Linked DNA regions of Drosophila melanogaster. The protein of the gene in region 1 interacts with the protein of each later gene in a pairwise test. Each region holds a gene or a part of one and is shown on either strand. Other genes may lie near its edges.

Region 1 (7,439 bases):
AAAATTCTTGCGGCGGGACATGCGCATAGAAACTTTGAGCACGACCTACAGGTCGTATGAGTACTCAGCCAAAAAAGACGCAACATTTTCGAGCGTGTGATAAGACACAGATACTCCGCTGCGGGGACTTTCCCTTTCCAAAGCGACAGAGAGGGAAATGAAAAAGCCAGGGAGAGCGAGAGTGCGTGGGCGCTTCTAGGGAGGAGGCCCAGTTCGGGCTTTCGGGCCGGGCCCTAGACAACGGAGCACCACATTGAGGGAGGTAGGAAATTTGTGGCTCTTATCAACACAGCCGCCTGGCCAGCGAGCACCACCAGCCACATATATCGGGCAATGCAAACCAGACGAAACTGGGTCAAATTCAAGCAGCCAGTTTGGAATGCTCCATCCGGAAAATGTATCGGACGGATACTGGAATTATTTCTAATTGCCTGCGGACACGAACAGTTTTTACGGTTCAATAAACCATGTATTATGTTGACCCTTTCAGAAAATTTTAAAATGGAATCAATAATAATTAGTTTTTTGTATAGTTTTTTCTTTATACAATAATCCATAATAATTTTTACCGCTCATTTAATTTAATACAACTATGCAGAAGCCAATGGAATTTTGTGAAAAAAATTAAATGTACATTTTATTATTCGTTATTGATCGAATTTGTTTTTAATTTTACAATTTTTCATCGATGCACTCATGCATGCAGGACATTTCCCAGGTGTATGGTAATGCAACTGTTGGTCATGTCTTCAGTGTGATACGGTAAATTTGATTTATCTGCTGGATTTCAACACTCAGGACCTTAGTGGGAGCGGGTATCCATGGAGGCGGTTAGCATAAGTAAGGTTCTTAAAAGCTCCCTAACTTTCCATAGTCTGATTCGATCCGTTTAGTCGCTTGATGGCTATTTTGGCTACACCCTTCGAGCACTCTGTGGATCCGCCCATGATGACGAGGAAGAGTCCGTTGTGCGCAACTGACTTCCACAGGCGATCAATGGTCTTGTCCAGTTTGGCAACACTCCGCTGTGCACTGTCCAATATAAAGTCCTGCTCTGGCACGCGGAGGTTGGCAATTGTCAGGGCATTTTCCAGTGCAACTTCATTGACCTTCCGAATGGCTTCCTTGGCCGTAGATACCTCGTGGACATGCACCGACGTACTTTGATCCTTGGGCGCTGCCTCTCCCGCCTTTTCGATCACTTCCTTTAGACGGGGCTGCAGCTCGCCGACCGTGACAATGGCCGTGCGCTTATCCCGCTTTGCCACATGTGCAAACAGATTGTTGGATATGGTATCACCGCTGGATGCGTTCGCCAACTCCTGTAATTGCTTGTGCTGCGTGAGGATCTGGTCTCCGAACTCGATGCTGTTTGCCAGCTTCTTCTTGACGAGCTTCAGCGTGGCTCGCGAATCCTCAATGGAATCGTGACCATCGATGTTCTCCTGGATAATTTCCTGTAAAAAGGTTTTGGCCAGATCCTTCAGCTTGGTCTTGCGTCGTCGCACCCCAGATGTGTTAAAGCACACGCTGGTGTCAATTACATACGGGTGCATCATTTTCATGGCGTTCAAGTCAGAATTTAGAGATTGCCCCACCAGAATGGCATCTGGAGGCAGCAGTTCGGACACTTCCTTTTGCACAACATCCAGCCTCTTGGTCACTTGCTCCATAATTTCTGCGGTTATGCCCGAATATTGGGTTAGATAGTCGGTGATCCGGTTATTTGGCAACACTAGCGTTTCATAAACGGTCTCGTAATTTTCGTTGACAATAGAGATTCGGGTTAGCTCGTTACAACCCGCCTCCGTGTGACACATTTCACAATCAACGCCGAACATAGGACTGCGATTGGTTACCGGTGCATACAGATCCTTGGTAAACTTAAAGTTTTGGAAACGAGTGTGTAGCTCGCCCTGCAATGGAATAGGATAGCCCTCGTCGACCATTTGCAGCGCTGACAGCAGGAGCTTAGTGCGTGGGAACTTGTCATCCTCATGCATGTCATCCGACTCAGATTTAGAGCTTTCGATTGGAAAGATTGTCTTTACAAACAAAGTTGGATCTTTGTTCAGCTCCACAGCCGACTCCAGGGAGCCGTGCTCGTCTATCAGTCTGCGTGCCTGCGCATTGGTGAGAGGAATCTGCAAGAGCAAGGGATATATTATTAGGCAAACAGACAGTTTCAACGAAGCCCTACCTTGGCTATCTCGTCGATAATCTTCTGGCCCTCCTCCTGCGGTGGAAGTATCATCTCCAGCTTCGTGCTGAATATCCTGTTGGTGGCCTCAAACTGGGTCTCGTTAGACAGATAGTGGTAGAGAGATAGTCCCTCCAGAATGACCACCACACTGTGCGACAGACTGAGCCACTTCTCCACGCTGCACCAGCGATCCGGACGGCAGGGGCTCTTCTGGCCAATGAGAGCGCACATCAACAGGTTCTGGATGTCGGTTAGAAAGATGGGCGTACGAGCATCTTGCGGAGTCTCCAGGGAGGCGCGCTGACCCATCTCACGCAGTCGCAAGGCCGGTACGTTCTCCAGCTCCCGTTTGCGACGCCTCAACTCTGCCGACAACTGATTGTACTGATCCTCGGATAGCGAGCCAATCTCCAGCGGCAGGCTATCTCCACCAGCATCGTAATTGCGGATTTTCTTGTTCACCGGCTCTTCAGGATCTGATGTTCCTGGGGCAGTCTGTGAATCCGCCTCCAGCTCGTTGTTTTGACGACGGTTTCGCGGCTTGCGTTTGCTGCCCACCACGATGAAACCGTCGTCCCCGTCCTCCGCCTTCGCTGTTGACTTCTCCTCCACTTCGACCTCTGCATCGCGTTTTTTGGCCAACTCTGCCTCGTGCAATCGATCGCGATCGTTGAGCTCCATCAGGTTCGCCAGGGCCGCCAGCTTCTTTTTCTTCTTCTCGTTGCGCTCGTGCTGCTTGGTGGACATATGTTCCTTCATCCTGGAGCGCTTACCGTTCAAGCTGCAGGCGAAAATACGCAACTTTTATTAAATTAACTCGATTTTCAGTAGATTTCAATTTGTCAACACGAAGATTTAACATGTGCAACGTGCTAGTGTTACCAGATGGTAAAAACAGTTTTTAGCCCCAACAGAGCTGGCAGTCCCGCTATTTTCTCGTCAAATCTGACTTCTTTCCAGCCGAAATCAGTGCCTGCCAAAAGCTGGCTGCTGGAAATTGCGGTTTGTACGTAAGGTTCCCAGGCGTGAGTAAGAAAGAGACAACCATAGTATACATCAACCGTTATGATGCCGCGTGCTTTTGGTACAAGTTAAATCGTCAAACTTTACAACCGCCCCAAAATTTTTGTTTTACGCCCGAAATTAAATAAAATAAATACGCCATCATGTACGCAGCTGTTAAACCGCTCTCCAAGTATCTGCAGTTCAAGTCGGTGCACATCTACGATGCTATTTTCACGCTGCACTCCAAAGTCACAGTGGCCCTGCTTTTGGCCTGCACATTTTTGCTTTCCTCGAAACAATATTTCGGCGATCCCATCCAGTGTTTTGGGGACAAGGATATGGACTACGTGCACGCCTTTTGTTGGATCTACGGGGCCTATGTGAGCGACAATGTGACTGTGACGCCCCTAAGGAATGGAGCTGCACAGTGCCGACCAGGTGAGTTTGGAAATGCTTCAAAGATTCCCATGTTCAGCACGGATTCTTCATTTCAGATGCGGTTAGTAAGGTAGTGCCCCCGGAAAATCGTAACTACATAACCTACTATCAGTGGGTCGTGCTGGTATTGCTGCTCGAGTCGTTTGTGTTTTATATGCCAGCATTTCTCTGGAAGATTTGGGAGGGCGGTCGGCTGAAGCATTTGTGCGATGATTTCCACAAGATGGCCGTTTGCAAGGACAAGAGCAGGACCCATTTGCGCGTACTAGTCAACTACTTCTCCAGCGATTACAAAGAGACCCACTTCCGCTACTTCGTTAGCTACGTCTTCTGCGAAATACTCAATTTGAGCATCAGTGTGAGTGACCAAAACTAGTAATTCAATAATCTACGATATTACTAAAAATTGTAATTATTTGCAACCCCGCAGATTCTAAACTTCCTTCTGTTGGACGTATTTTTCGGAGGTTTTTGGGGCCGCTACCGTAATGCCTTGCTGTCCCTTTACAATGGCGACTATAACCAGTGGAACATTATAACCATGGCAGTCTTCCCCAAGTGTGCCAAGTGCGAGATGTACAAGGGCGGCCCCAGCGGTTCTTCCAACATATACGACTACCTTTGCCTGCTGCCCCTGAATATACTGAACGAGAAAATCTTCGCCTTCCTGTGGATATGGTTTATACTAGTGGCTATGCTCATTTCCCTCAAGTTTCTGTACCGCCTGGCCACCGTTTTGTATCCCGGAATGCGTCTTCAGTTGCTTCGTGCCAGGGCACGTTTCATGCCCAAGAAGCACTTGCAGGTGGCATTGCGCAATTGCAGTTTTGGCGACTGGTTCGTGCTGATGCGCGTGGGCAACAACATCAGCCCCGAGCTATTCCGTAAGTTGCTGGAGGAGCTGTACGAAGCTCAGTCCTTGATCAAAATACCGCCAGGAGCGGACAAGATCTAAGATCTCAGCGATGACGCCAAGTTTAATCTCAATATACTGAAATAGGTATTATCATTTGAATCATCTAGAGTAGAAGACTAAGATGACACAAACAAGAATAACATACATTAATTTTTTCACATCGATATGTGCATATTATCGAAGATATAACGAACTATTATAATTTTTGTGCTAAGAATAATGTGCCATTTTCACTTGTTCAGTAAATTCTCATATTTCTTAATCATCATAAATATTCTTGACCATTTGAATCCTTAATTGGCTTGATATAGATCGAAAACTGAATTTATCTTTAATAAAAGTTGAAAGTGTAAAGAACATAAGCTATTTTCATGCACAGTTTATTGATTGTTAACTGGCCACTATTGTTATTAATCTTTCATCACCATCATTTACCTACATATCACCTACACAATAATTAGTCGTTCAAGGTGGTGTATGAGTATGAGTAACTAATACCTTTTTGAATGAAATGAGTTTATTTGTTACTTACCTTTGCGACCTGGCAATTCTGCGCAGTGCGATTGTCGTTCTGGTCCACATCATGTTTGTTATCTCGAGATAAAGGTTAATATGTTAAGGAACTCTATGCGCATGCCGTGGGAAGGTCCTTGTGTTTGTGTTTGTTTTCTGGTTCCTCCAATGACTAATGACTGGCTGGATCTTGAGGGCATATACTTTCTTTGCTTGCGCATCAATTTTTGTTAATGAAGTTCTGTGGGTTCATGGGAAAACTGGCTAAGACACTCGATTCCTGCACGTTTCATGCGCTGCTGCTACTTACATTCTGTCTGATGGTAAAATTTTGATAAACAATTTTATTTGATTTTCTAAGTAGAATGCATGTGTTTTCTGTTTTACTACCGTTTCTTTTTGTTTTTTATTTATATTTTTCGGTAAATAGTGTTCGTGGTCAAAGCTTTGATGTGTGGAAAAATGTTTTTATTTTTATGCGCTTTACGAAATTTGTAAAAAAAAAAAGGGAAAGAACTGATTTGGAAACTTCTGACACAGGGTTGAGAATTAATGCTGGGCCTGCTTAGCTTACAGTTCTGGTTTCATAGGTGGTGGGCGGCTGGTTCGTTGCTCTGCCATTCCAAAATCCCCTTCAACTTGCACTTTTCGTCGGCCATTTCAGCTGACCTCCGCAGTTGCCGGGCCGCTTTTCATTAACCAAAAAACCATAAACTTCGAAACGTAGCAGAAAAGTGCAGCAGTGGCCGCTGGATGTGGGTCGTTTGCCCGCTGATCCACTTTCCGGAAGCCCTTATAAGCGGCGCATTCACCACCGTCGGATTCAGTTGCTCTTTACCGGCCGGATCGCGCGGAAGTCGTCATCGTAGTGATTATTACCGTTCTGGATTATCGTGCATATCAAATTGCTTTGCGATTGCTTTTTGTGGATTTTTGTTTGAGTGAATCGCTGTAACCTGAGGCTCCTTGTTTCCCGGCCAATTTAACAAAGTGCTTAACATATAATTGAAAGAAATAATCAGCGATTTTGTGGCGTAAAAGCTTATGTGTTAAAAATGTCCAGAGCTTAAGTGAAAAATCCAGAAGATAAATCAATTTATGAATAATGAATTACAACATGGATGGTATGTGTTACTTTGAAATCTTGAAAATAACTTCCGTACTCGTTGGCAAAAAAAAAAATAGGCCAAAAACAATTAATATTTTCACCCACGTCTGTGAACATTTTAAGCCAGAAAGTGAATTCCATAAAATGGTCGAAAGTTCCATTTTATTTTGAACTTGGATCAGCATTATTATAAAAATTATTGCAAAAGTGCTGAACAGGCCAGAAAGTGCTGACCACAATAAATAATAAAAAGTGTTTAATTATGTATGTTGAAAATAAAAGTATGTAGACTGAGTTTTTATAAAAACTGCGAACAAGACAATAAACATACAAGTATGTAAACAGTTTAATACTTAAGCGATTGGCTTACAAAAAATCCATAATTGAACTTGGTTAAGAAATTTCGTTACACTAATCTTCTTAAACGGAATTCTTTAGAGATGGAGGCCACCAGGCTGCTTCGGCATCCGCGACGTTGGTGGAGCATTGGATTCGGCAAACGGATCGTGGCCATCTCGATTCTGGTCATCATCGTGTTGCTATTTTCTCTGGTTTACCACGGGCTAGTGGTGGAGAAAATTGGTAAGTTCGTTAACGAGTTATAATAAGAGTAATAATAACTAATAAATTACTTAAAGATCAAGTGCAGCAGATTGCAGCGCTGAATGCCAGGCACCAGGTGCTTTTCAACCAGCCCTTTGAGGAGGATCAGTCTGCCCTGATTGTGAGTCCTCAAACTTTGCACTTCAAATTGCTCGACGAGGATATGAACAAGGATATGGAGGATAGCAAAAACAGGAGAAGGAAGCATATGCGGCAAATGCTGGTTAAGTTCCGGTTGAACAAGAAACACCGCATGCGGCGTGATTTGCATGGGTTGGATCTGTTGGATCCCGTCCGGATGGAGGCCAATATGCAGCACCTGTACACCAAGCTGCGAAGTAAAAGGGCAAGAGAAGCCCTAAGCCAGTTGGAGCATGAGTTTGTGCGTTGCAAAAAGCATACTCCGCAGGATTGCATGTCCGCCTTTCTGCGCATGTACAAAATGGCAAAGGAGGTGACCGAGAAAATGGAGAAGATGAAGGCCATTATGCGGGAGCAGCAGCCGAAATTGGAATCAAGCAGCATGGAGTCCCATGAACAGAAGGGTACTTTTTCACCGGCCGACCTGATTCAGGTGACAACTGCAGAGGCCACAACGGTTGCGGTACATGCCACTGAAAAGCCAGCGAGGACTAAGATTAAGCCTTCAAGGA
Region 2 (4,891 bases), on another chromosome or scaffold:
GCTGTGTCCAAATATGCGTTTCATAACGCTAAACGAATATCAAGAGTACCTAAAACGCCTGTCGATTGGACCCGAATTCAATACGTGTTTCAAGCATACCAGGGATCGGGAATCAGAAGGACAAGAAGATATGTGGAAGCATATGTGAATAGGCATTATTTATAAATCATTTTTTGTATACTTTAATAAACAGACACACGTTTTACGCCCTCCGGTAAATGGATTGTACTACTTACTCTTTGCCGCACTCATAAGATCTTTGACCTCTTTGATAATTCGTTTTATTTGATGACTAGTGTGGTCCAGTTCCTTTTCATGTCGATTTAAATTTTCGCGAAAGTCCGGACTGTCGACGATGCATTCTTCGAACTCCAGAGGCTCCAAGCCGCGGCGTACATTTTTGCCGCCGCCCATGATGTTTGCGTTTGCTTTTAATAATATTGAATTTGAATATTTGCTGTGATTTTCAGTTTAAGTTTCAGTTTTATTTAGGTTCTTTCGATGTTGCTTTCCACAGAGCTAAGTGCATTCGCAGTGACTGATATATTGTGATATATTGTGTAGATTTGTCGGTTGAGTTTCGAGAAAACTGCGGTGTTTGCAACATTTACAGCTGGAATTGCGCTCCTTTTATATATTTACTATTCAATGCAAATACTGTTTATCAGTTGGTGGATTATGCATATTGGTAATCCTTCCTGCAAAGACAACTGATATAAGATATCTTTTTAAACAACAAGTAGAGTTAATTGCGCAAAACTTGCATTGCGGCTGAGCGGCCAAGAATACGCTAAGTTACTTTGAGAAAATATTTTGTTCTAGCATGAAGAAACATGATTCACTCGATTCTTATCAACTCTGTATTAAAGAACTTGCATTCTCTCTTTTAGAGAACCCATTGCTTTGTGTGGTTTAAAAACGATATTTTGAGTACATCGCAATCACCGGAATATGAATTTATAGCCTAAATTGACCAATAATTAGCAAGTGAAGTCCATTATGTATTATATTTATTCGTTTTGATCGCGCAGAGCTCTGGCAATTGTGATTTTGATTTAAGGTCGGTTCCCCACATTCGATAAACTTTAAACTGTGAAATTCCGAAAATAAGAGCAGATCCGAAAAGCAAACTGATGAGATTATATAAAAAGATAAATTGAAACACAGTGCCACGATAAAAAGTGGGCAGTCAACGACTAACTTTCATCAAGAACGGACTATTGTTAATTTCTTATCGTCTGTGTACCGAGCAAGACCCACACTCTAGTAAATTTCTTATCTTTTGCAAACATATACATATGTACAAGCGTTTACCAAAAACAAGTTTAAATACACTTGCGAACACTTTCCTATTACAGTGAAACCAGCCACAGGCTGATAAGTCGTCGCCATTACATAAATGCAAAACCGACTTTGCAATTGAAAATCATGTTCAATAAAAATTGCGAAAGTCAGCCACTTGGAAAATACACTTTGAATGCCATTTATTTATGGGTGTATTTAAATCATAAAGTTGCTTACAGACGCCTGTTTACTACATTGTCATTGTTGTATATGTTTTTCTTATCAGATCTTAAGATAGATAGGCGCAGGCACGGAGAATTCTCAGAAATAATCGCCTAATCAATATATATTTTAAACAAATTTTAGTGGATTCCAGGCCCAAGTTATCAAGGAAACAATGACGCAGATAAATGTATATACACCCTAACTAAAACAATTCACAAAACATATCCCCTTTACGCAATAATAGTCTTTCCATTCAAATTCGCAAAGTACTTTTATCCGGCTCATAGGACCATTGATTACTGATAACCAGTTAATCACCTGTTTTCACTTTCTTTGACTACAACAACTTTAAAAATCCTTGATAACTTTATAAGCCTAAGAGATAGTTATATATATGAAAATGTTAGGCATTGAAATAATGCAATATATATGTATTTATTTAAAGCCGAGTTCAGATAGTGCAATTCAAGATCATGGGAAATTTTGTTGGCGAGTTTCCACTGATGGAATGCGCAACGAGTAAAAACACAGCTGTTGCTATGTATTTTCGCTAGATATACCTTAATACCTGTTGAATACGAACTTATGGTGGATTTTTGGGGCTTAAAAAACAGTTAAACATTCCGTTTTAAATTATCTTATCGGTTTTTTTTTACAGTTAAGCCCGCTTAAAATTGTTGCATGAAGCTAGGTATGTACAGGCATACTTGCATACTTGCATACATACAGATGTGCACCGCCTGTATTTGTATGTTGTGTACATTTGTTATTTAAAAATAACTTTAGTTTATGTTCGCTTACTGATAAATAACTCATATGCGCACTTTACAACACTATGTGCATAAGAATGTGTTGAAGGGAGGGGTGGGCGAGAGTTTTTATCGTTTCCTCTTTTTTTTTGCATAAACTTGTTAAATTTCGATGTACATATGTAAACATTCGATCTTAAAACAGGTTGCGAGGCCACTAACACCATAATTTCGATATCGGACATACCCCTGGGATGAAATTCAACTGCAGCACCAAATCCTTTGTTTATTTCGCATGCATGTAGTTGTTTAAAAAACTAAATAATATATATATATCAGCATACATATACGTAGATACACACCAGCACACATACATACGCAATGCAATGGAATCACAAATAAATAAATAAATCAAATCCTTATAAACGAATCGTCGAGGGGCTCATGTTTAGACGCTTTTCATATGACTTTAGCCCATTGGAATTCACTTATACAAAAATAAATGCTCTTAGTTACGAAAGGCAACCGTCGGTAGTTTTTCGCGTACCGCAACCGCACACACATTTGTGCCCGTGTTAAAATTACTCACAGAGTAAACATTAGTGTATGAGTAATTTCCCAATATCTAATGTTGCTCTGATCGAAGAACGCAAATTGGCCGTGTCGTGTCGCGCGTTTCGCATCAATTACGCGATATTATTCAGCATCAATTGCATATTTCGTTTCATTGTATTCTAAATGCACCACAATATATATATATTACTTTGACTGTTAAATCTCCGATTAGAAAAAAAAATTAATGTAGGTCTGATAAAAATACACAAGTTATCTGAACGTGCTGTTAAGTATATTAACTGTGCTGTTAAGCGCATCAAATACCCTGTCTCCACCGCGACACTAACATTTGCAGGAGTGTCCATAAGCTTTTGCCGTGCCATCTACTTCTCATGCGTTCCAACAACCACCTGTTACTTACTTGTTCGCATTTCAACGCATTACTCTCTCCCATTCTCTAACTTTAATTGACAGAAATGATTGGGAAACAAAATGAAAGCGCTAAAACTTCTTTGATAGATATCAAATGTTTATTAAGCGTCTAAAGTTTGCAGCATGCATAGCTTAGCACGAATTGTGAATCATCTATTTTGTCAATGAACAACATTGCGCGTCGTTACATAGAGAGGGGTGAATTCATTACCAAAATGTATTACAAATGTTACAAATTTATTAAAAACTACAATTTCTGATTTACATAGTTGCGATAATAATCACATCATGTTTCCACTACTCCAATTATAAGAGCATGTGGAATCGAAATTGACCAGAAATAATCGATGGTCAAGCAGCCGTGCCCCAAATATCGCTGATATCGATACTGTGGCCGATGTTTTGACAGCTCTTTTGGTTATTCTGCACCGGCTCGCTTTTATGCTTTGTTAAATTATATTATATAAGTATGATGCGGAGCGTTATTAATCAATTACTGGGTCTCCGGTGGGTACACTTATCGTTGCTATAGTGGCCATTTAGTAAATTCTGGTTTCTCCATTCAGGCTCAGTGGAAATAGCAGTGTTTTGGTTACGCAGGTGCGCGATAAGGGCCATTTGAGCAGACCTCGACTGCGGAATCCCCAATGGTTTCTGCGCAAGGAAATTACAGTATGTGACATATATCTTTTTATCTATAAACAAACTACTCATTTGCGTTTTATTGCAACAGAAATACAACGATTTGATGACGGCGGAGAACAAGCAGTTCGTCAACGAAGTGGGCACCAATAACTTTGGCGTTCCGGCAGTTATTAAGGATAGTTTGGTCAAGACCGCGGGCCCAACCGCCAATGAGGCTGTGTGGACTCCGAATTTGCGAAGATGCGGCGTTATAGCGCGCAAAATTGGCCAGTACCCGCTGTGGCTAAAGAATGGCGAGCGGATTCGCACCACGCTGCTGCAAATCGTCGACAATCATGTCATTAAATACATTCCCCCGGAAGAGTATTTACCTGCCCAAGTTCCCACGGTAGCCAACCTGCACAAGCGCGGCTGCATTCTCGTTGGCTCCGAGACCACGAACCCAGCTCTGTTGACCAAAGAGTACGCGGGCATATTCCGCAACTCGGGTGTGCTCCCCAAGAAGAACCTGGCCCGATTCATCGTCTCTCCAGAAGCCCAACTGGCGCCAGGCACTCCACTAAATGTCAACCACTTTCGCGTTGGTGACTTCGTCGATGTTCGCGGCAAAACGTAAGTACATACGTCTAAGCGCTGGTTATACGTACTCTACTTATATTTTGCAGAGTTGACCATGGCTTCCAAGGTGTTGTCAAGCGACACGGATTTAAGGGCATGCCAGCATCGCACGGTGTGACGAAAACTCATCGACGTGCCGGCAACATTGGCGGTGGTGGCGAGAAGGGTCGCGTCTGGCCAGGCACAAAGATGCCGGGACACATGGGAAACCGGTGGCGCATCATCAAGGGTCTGCGCGTGTGGCGCATTAACACCAAATATAATGTTATGTGGGTGCAAGGGAGCTCGGTGGCCGGCCCCACCGGCGGTCTGGTCTACATATACGATACCATCTTGCCAACGCGAAAGAATAAGGAAGCCCCACCGTTCCCAACGTTTTACGG

What was found.
Region 2: the proteins of Rexo5 (region 1) and Graf interact in a two-hybrid assay, tested with the Drosophila melanogaster proteins (one large-scale study listed by BioGRID).

What each region holds. Positions count from the first base shown.
Region 1 is NT_037436.4:6,601,840-6,609,278, reverse strand, and holds Rexo5 (RNA exonuclease 5), read right to left. Parts: upstream 5,596-7,439; 5' UTR 5,386-5,595; intron 5,317-5,385; 5' UTR 5,095-5,316; intron 4,914-5,094; exon of another isoform or gene 4,602-4,913; coding exon of another isoform or gene 4,077-4,601; intron 4,005-4,076; coding exon of another isoform or gene 3,703-4,004; intron 3,647-3,702; coding exon of another isoform or gene 3,370-3,646; exon of another isoform or gene 3,247-3,369; intron 3,101-3,246; exon of another isoform or gene 2,985-3,100; 5' UTR 2,963-2,984; coding exon 2,201-2,962; intron 2,145-2,200; coding exon 861-2,144; 3' UTR 540-860; downstream 1-539. Other genes in the region: zpg (zero population growth), read left to right, coding at 3,370-3,646, 3,703-4,004, 4,077-4,601; ndl (nudel), read left to right, coding at 6,181-6,199, 6,622-6,765, 6,822-7,439.
Region 2 is NC_004354.4:15,757,620-15,762,510, forward strand, and holds the start of Graf (GTPase regulator associated with FAK), read right to left. Parts: upstream 3,031-4,891; 5' UTR 2,621-3,030; intron 2,576-2,620; exon of another isoform or gene 2,506-2,575; intron 699-2,505; 5' UTR 415-698; coding exon 237-414; intron 149-236; coding exon of another isoform or gene 1-148. Other genes in the region: CG8260 (uncharacterized protein), read left to right, coding at 1-148; mRpL3 (mitochondrial ribosomal protein L3), read left to right, coding at 3,715-3,752, 3,812-3,917, 3,979-4,502, 4,556-4,891. UniProt on the Drosophila melanogaster protein: GTPase-activating protein for Rho family proteins. Essential component of the CLIC (clathrin-independent carrier)/GEEC (GPI-anchored protein-enriched early endocytic compartment) endocytic pathway.